Linked DNA regions of Macaca fascicularis. The protein of the gene in region 2 purifies or fractionates together with the protein of the main gene of each other region. This does not show direct contact. Links are inferred from orthologs where the notes say so. Each region holds a gene or a part of one and is shown on either strand. Other genes may lie near its edges.

Evidence for each region.
Region 1: the proteins of PA2G4 (region 2) and NCL purify together in Homo sapiens (affinity purification with mass spectrometry; 3 studies listed by BioGRID and IntAct, with this or other methods). This does not show direct contact. The link is inferred for Macaca fascicularis from reciprocal best matches to the Homo sapiens genes PA2G4 and NCL.

What each region holds. Positions count from the first base shown.
Region 1 is NC_088386.1:127,383,356-127,386,955, forward strand, and holds the start of NCL (nucleolin), read right to left. Parts: upstream 2,269-3,600; 5' UTR 2,128-2,268; coding exon 2,110-2,127; intron 1,254-2,109; coding exon 1,137-1,253; intron 1-1,136. UniProt on the Homo sapiens protein: Nucleolin is the major nucleolar protein of growing eukaryotic cells. It is found associated with intranucleolar chromatin and pre-ribosomal particles. It induces chromatin decondensation by binding to histone H1.
Region 2 is NC_088385.1:62,892,867-62,896,627, reverse strand, and holds part of PA2G4 (proliferation-associated protein 2G4), read right to left. Parts: intron 3,591-3,761; coding exon 3,498-3,590; intron 1,870-3,497; coding exon 1,806-1,869; intron 1,254-1,805; coding exon 1,175-1,253; intron 713-1,174; coding exon 634-712; intron 553-633; coding exon 419-552; intron 143-418; coding exon 48-142; intron 1-47. UniProt on the Homo sapiens protein: May play a role in a ERBB3-regulated signal transduction pathway. Seems be involved in growth regulation. Acts a corepressor of the androgen receptor (AR) and is regulated by the ERBB3 ligand neuregulin-1/heregulin (HRG).

The DNA.
Region 1 (3,600 bases), on a different chromosome or scaffold from region 2:
ACCATGGTCCCAGTGAGTGTTAGATTCTGGCAATGCTTCTGGTTCAAGACCACATGCGCTAGACACATGTTAGCATGTTAAACTCCAGGCTTCTGTTATGTTGTCTTAGGTCAGAGCCCTTATTATCAGGTGAATACCCAGCCATAAGGAACCCTTTTGAACACTTAAAATACCTCTGAACCAGACCTCTGAATTCTTGCACCTCATATTTTCCCAAACCCCAACTTTCTCATCTGAAAATGGTAATAGTATCATATTACACGTATAACAATAATGAATTGCTATGCGTAAATTATTCAGAACCTTACACCTAGGAGGCTCCAAGCATTAACGTATTAAATCATTTGGGGCTCCTATGGTGGATGGCAGTACTGAGTCCAGTGAAGCTCAATTCTTGGGACCTGAGATAAAATGAAGATCAAATAGGCTAAACATAACTATCCCTTACAAAACTATCACACATCAAAGAGTGAGCATGTTAGTTTGATAAAAGCCATCGTTTAGCTACATGAAAATCCCATAGTTTTATTAGGCAATGTGTGGAAGAATAAAACTTTTATTCAATTCTCAACGAGAAACCTGAGCACAATTCAGTGCTCAGATGTCTTTACAGTGAGCAAATAAAAGGCCAGGACTGCCAAAGAGTAAAGAGGGTCAATGTTAACACAAAGAGGTGGCAGCCCTCAGTCTACACCAAAGATAACTATAACGCAGTGAGTAGAATTACAAAGTTTATATATAATGGAATGGAGACCAATTAATCTTAATTGGAGGCTAGGAAAGGAATCTGGGAAGGTTATCCTCAGATCTGAATACAATGCCCAGCTCTACATGTCGGGGTGAGGCTAACATGTTGAAACTGGAAAAATTTAATGATTTAACACAACAAATCACACTCCTTGCCCTGCAGAGGCACATGGAAAGGAGATCCCCAGACCTCTTGTCTCAAACTCACATTCAAATACTTAGCCAAATGACACCTTGACATGTCAGTGAAGAGCTTGTGAAACCACCACTACAATAGGACATACCTGGATGAATAAAATCTTATTTTAGCCACAGACATCCAATTTCATGTCTTAACTCTCCATTGTTGTAGTTTTAACACAATTCTGCATTAAGCTAGATAAAATTACCTCTTCTCCACTGCTATCATCTTCTTCATCTTCTGACATTTCTTCATCTTCACTATCTTCTTCTACCTCCTTTGGAGGAGGAGCCATTTTCTTGGGGTCACCTTGATTTTTACCTGCCTAAAATGGACACAAGTAGGTCATTACACCTCCACCTCAACATTTCAGGCCATTCATATTTTGCCATTACTGTTCATAGTAAAACGCCATCATCTCTCCTTTCTCAGATCCATTTCTCATAGTGCCAAACAGCACAACATCAAAACGAGTCCTGATGGCAATGCAAGATGGACTACTCTCAACCGCCCACAATTTTCCTCCCGGGCTTCACAAACAGAAAACCCGCCCGAAGGTAAGAAGTAACTACCTTGGTTTTCTCATGAACATTATGCTTTTCCCAGCAAGACAACCCCGCCCCTTAAAGAGGCGGCGCGGCCACGTGGGGGTACCTGGTAGGCCACCACGTGCCCGAAACACGGCGCAAAAGGCACGCGGCAGAGCCACCTTCCGGGGCCCACCACGTGTCGGCTTGCCAGGCCAGGACTCCGACTAGGACGTATACCGCCATTTCCTGGCGCAAGGCACCGGTGCCTCTGGAGATTCCAGGACCCACGCGGCGCGGCCCACGTGGCAGGCCGCGCACCCGGGCACGTGCGTCAGGAGTCGGGTCCCGACTCGTATGCGTCGCAGGAGTTTGGTCTCATCTCCCCACCCCGGGGCCCAGCGCCCCCTCCCCGCGCTCAGTAACTCCGTCTTTCCCGCCGCGTTCGCCGCCCCCAGCACCTGCAGAAGCTCTTCACCTCGCCACCAACTAGCCAGAAGCCGCGAGACCTCCCCACTAATCGCGCGAGACTTCCCGCAGCATGGCGCCCTAGAACGCGCCCGGGACTGCGCGCAGGCCCTCCTCCCCGCGCCGCCGCGCTCGCCCCTCGGAGAGCAGGCCTAGACGTCTGCGCTCGCGCTCAAGGCCGTTTACCTTCGCGAGCTTCACCATGATGGCGGCTTATGGCGGCGGAGTGTGGAGCGGAGAAGTGGCGCAGATGAGTCCAGAGGAAGCCAAGCGACGGCGATGGCGGCCGCGGGTGCTGAAGATCCCGGAGCACGTACACTCGAAGGCCAGCGAGAGCTCGAGACTGAGGCGAAAGACTGAGCCTGCCCAGTAATCGCCTGTGGAAAGGCGACGACGGCGCCCTCGTGACTCCGTGCCGACCAACCAGAGCTCGCGGCAGTCCCCCTGAGCCAATCGCGAGCCTCTAACCGAGAACGGCGCGGGGCGGGGAGTGGGCGGGCCGAGGCGGCCACGGGAGGGGGAGGGGCTGGCAGCCGTGCCGTGGGGGCGGGGCTCGCTTTGTGCAAGGCGGGCGCTGATTGGGCCGTGGGCGCGCGGGTCCCGGCCTGCGCCGTGGGACTGGCGTTTTTGGCGCCGGCTGTGAGGGGACCTCGGGGGTGGTGGAATCGGGCGGTCTAGGGATCTCCAATGTGGCTGGCTCCCTAGGCTCGGGCAGCCTTGGAGTTCCTCAAAGACCCCGCGCGCGGCCCCGGCACGCACTCACGCCGGGGCTCCCGGTGGCCCTGGAGAAAGAAGCCCGCCAGCCCCGGAAGTTCAGGGACCGCGGAGTTCCCGTTGGCCCTTTCGGAGGCACAGCTCAGCCCTGCTTGCCCGCGAGCATGGGACTGGAGACACCCCCGGCTGCAGGCAGCCTTCTGAGAGCCGTTAATAAAGGCAGTCGCGGGTCTGTGCGAGGTTTTTCTGTGAGAAATGCACGAACCTCCCCTACCCCACAGAACCTCAGGCGGGAGATACTTCTCGTCATGGGGAACGGCCTCGGAGAAGTAACTTTCTGGCCTCACAGGGCAAGGAGAGGGGCCTGGGCGGGCCGACCGCAAAGCCGGGCCTTTGACCGCCCACAGGTTCCCTGGTTGTTATTTGCGTCGAATGCGCCAATTAAGGTGGTGGCTGCTAAGTCAGTGTCACCAGATGGCTCGGGAGCAGGTCGAGAGCCACCGGCAGGGTTCCCCGGCGGCAGGGCGAAGGAGGCCGGAGTGACTTCCACGGTTAGCTTTGAGGGTGGGCCTCCCTCGATGCCGGGCTTAGCAACAGAGCATTTCCCTCCGTCCAGGGCCTGCCTGGGATCCATCCAATCCATGGGTCCAGGTATGGATCCATCCATACCTCATTGTTCCTACAGAACCAGGATACCTGCAGCTACGGCTGTACTTGTTAAAAATCACCTCAGGCGGGGCGCGGTGGCTCAGGCCCGCAGTCCCAGCACTTTGGGAGACCGAGGCGCATGAACCGGGGAGTCGGGGATTGCAGTGAGCCGACATCGCGCCACTGCACTCCAGCCTGGGCGACAGAGCGAGACTCCGTCTCAGAAAGAAAGAAAGAAAAGTGTTTGTTAAGGCCAGGCGCGATGGCTCATGCCTGTAATCCCAGTACTTTGGGAGGCTGATGCAGGAGGATCGC
Region 2 (3,761 bases):
ATCATATAATCAGGGAATCCAAAGTGAAGCTCCTTTTTAGAACTCACCCTCCTTCTCATAGAGAACATTAAATGGTTGCAGCAGTTCATGTTTGGCGCACTCCACCACACCCATCCGAGCCTTCTTCTCATCTTCAAATGCTCTGGCAGGGAAGATGATATTCAGAGGTATCCTTAACTCCCCGTCAAGTCTTACCATTTTGCTCATATTTTAAAATAGCTCCTACCCTCAGGCAGAAATCATGCTTAGGATTGCTCTTTTACATTACCTTCAGTGAGAAGGAGATGGGGAGAGAGAGGGAGGGAGTGAGCACGTGCACGCTACAAGTCTAGGCAGGAAGGGAGAGGAAAAAGTGTTCCTGGGTGTATGGTCTGTGAGTCAGACTGGTTCCATGTACTATCATTGCTAAGTGTAGTACCTTAAAGTAAACGGCATGGCATCAAAACGCCTTTCCACCTCACTGAAGAAGGCACGTGAAGTTTTCATTTTCAGTCCATACTGTTTAGAGGGGTCTCGTTTGTAAATAGTGGTTCTCTGTCCTGCATCCTTGGCCTGAAAGGGTAATTTAAGTAACATTTGGTCTGGTGAACACTCTCAGTCACCCCTCTTAGCCAACTCTGGTACTCTCCTCACCTTGCCCTCTCCTGAGCTGACGAGAACATCCACAGCATATACTTCATGTACCTCAAATTCAGCTTTTTCATGGTCCTTCCTAAAAGGAATAGAGAGAAAGGGAACTTTTTTTTTTTTGACACACAGTCTCATTCTGTCACCCAGGCTGGAGTGCAGTGGCACAATCTCAGCTCACTGCAACCTCCGCCTCCCAGGTTCAAGCAACTCTCCTGCCTCAGCCTCCCAAGTAGCTGGGACGACAGGAACACACCACCACGCCTGGCTCATTTTTGTATTTTTTAGTAGAGACAGGGTTTCGCCATATTGGTCAGGGTGGTTCCGAACTCGTGACCTCAGGTGATCCACCTGCCTCAGCCTCCCAAAGTGCCGGGATTACAGGCATGAGCCACCATGCCCGGCCTAGAGAAAGGAAATATTAAGAGCAACAGGTCACTCCTGAAAGCATGGAGTAAAGGGTAGACAAGATTCAGTTGGGAGTATAGAAAAAAACCTGATGACTAGTCTGGTATGGTAGAAGGTGATGAATAGGGTTGGCACCTACTTCTGCTGGTCTGTGGGATTCTGGATAATGGTTTTTTCTCCATCGATGACATGCTGCTTCAACTGGTGTGACAGCATACCTGTAGACAGGACACAACCTATGGAACGAGCTATCCAGTATCCCAAAAGATTTCCAAATCTACCTACTTCAGTAGTTTGAAGGGGTAGGCAGTGAGAAAACTACCTGGTGATGGAAACACAGGGCCCTGAGATTTCTGGCTTAGACTGGGTTATAGCTGGATAGATCTTCAAGGGGGCAAAAGCCTCAATTCTGCAAAGCGACTCATTCTTTTTTTTTTTTTTTTTTTTCTGAGATGGAGTTTCGCTCTTATTGCCCAGACTGGAGTGCAATGGCGCGATCTCAGCTCACTGCAACCTCCGCCTCCCGGGTTCAAGTCTCACCACAACCTCCCAAGTAGCTGGGATTACAGGCGCCCGCCACCACGCCCAGCTAATTTTTGTACTTTTAGTAGAGACGGGGTTTCACCATGTTGGCCAGGCTGGTCTTAAACTCCTGACTTCAGGTGATCCGCCTGCCTTGGCCTTCCAAAGTGCTGGGATTACAGGAGTGAGCCACCTTGCCCGGCAAAGCCACTCATTCTTAGACCCTCAACCCTGTTATCTGTTCTCACCTTCTATTGGCGTGCAGTTAAATGAGTGGGCAACTTTGTTCCAGGCTTCTGTCACTTGTGTGTTCTAGAAGTACAACATCAAACAAAAGGTGAGATATCAGGAGCTAATAAGTTCTCTACAATGAGAATAAGAAGCATAAAAGAACTGAACTGAGCATTCTTTTTTTTTTTTTTTTTGAGATGGAGTCTAGCTTTGTCGCCAGGCTGGAGTGCAGTGGCGTGATCTCGGTTCACTGCAACCTCTGCCTCCTGGGTTCAAGCTCTTCTCCTGCCTCAGCCTCCTGAGTAGCTGGGATTACAGACATGCACCACCACGCCCAGCTAATTTTTGTATTTTTAGCGGAGACGGGGTTTCACCATGTTGGCCAGGATGGTCTCAATCTCCTGACCTTGTGATCCGCCCACCTCAGCCTCCCAAAGTGGTGGGATTACAGGCATGAGCCACCGCACCTGACAGAACTGAGCCTTCTAATATCGTCCATCAAGACCCAATGATACTCATTCACTGGTTTTTCGTTTCATAGCTTGATTATCCTTACAATCTAAAAATATTTTATACAGATGCTCCCCAACTTGCAATGGGGTTATATCTTAAAAAAACTCATTGTAAGTTGAAAATATCACTAAGTCAAAAATGCATTTAATACACCTAACCTACCTATCATAGCCTAGCCTATGTTAAATGTACTCAGAGCACTTAAAAAACATTATCCTACAATTGGGCAGAATTATCTAACATATGCCTATTTTATAATAGTGTTGAATATCTCATGTAATTTACTAAATACTACATGGAAAATGAAAACCAGAATGGTTGTATGGGTACTCAAAGCATAGCTTCTACTGAATGTGGCATCAAGCCGAGGACCAGGTGTATTTGCATATCATTTTACCCTGTGCTTTCACAAAGATGGTCTACTTCAATAAATTTTGCAAGTGAACAGGGCAGATATGTATATCCCAATCTAGAAGACAAGGAAACTGAGTCTCAGGTTAAATGATTTGCCCCAGGTTAAATGACTAAGTGAAAGAACTTAGTCATAAAAAAGAACCTGGGTTTTCTTTTTTCTTTTTGCAGAGACGGGTCTCGCTATGTTTCCCAAGCTGGTCTCAAACTCCTGGGTTCAAACAATCCTCCCACCTTGGCCCCCCAAAGTGCTGAGATTATAGGTATGTGCCACCACATGCCTATAATAAGTTCAGTGTTTATCCTTTTTTACGTGGCATTCTAATCTGTTTTGTGGGGACAGCAAATGCTTATTTTTCCTTTTTCTTTTGTGAAACAGGGTTTCATTGTTGCCCAGGCTGGAGTGCAGTGGCATGATCATAGCTCACCACAGCCTCAATCTCTCAGGCTCAGGTGATTCTCCCACCTCAGCCTCCCTGACAGCTGGGAATACAGGCACACATTACCATGCCCAGCTAATTTTTGTATTTTTTGTAGAAATGGGGTTTCACCATGTTTCCCAGGCTGGTCTTGAACTCCTGGCCTCAAGCTATCCTCCTACCTTGGCCCCCAAAAGTGATGGGATTACAGACGTGAGCCACTGTGCCCAGCCAAATATATCTAATTTTAAAAAGCTGTTTTATAAGGGGTCTATAGGGGAGGTTGGTAGTTTCATATAGAGAAGCAACAGGTGTCTAATGCATCTTTGGTTCAACCAAGCTTTGGAACTGGATAAAGTAGCTTACCTGATTTCCAGGTTTGACCAGGCGTAGGGCAGCTTCAGCACAAAGGTGAGCTGCCTTAATAACATCTGCTTTCCTCCCTGTTACTTGGGTCCCCTGTAGATAAGGACATGCAATCAGTATCTTCCTGGAAAGTTTGTTAACTCAGCTGGCTATCTGGTTAATATCTGTGAACCCATATGCGAAGGCCAGCCAATGAACAGGAGGGTAAAAACAGTAACAACAACAACAACAACAACAACAAAAAGCCTTTCTCCTTTTGCTTCT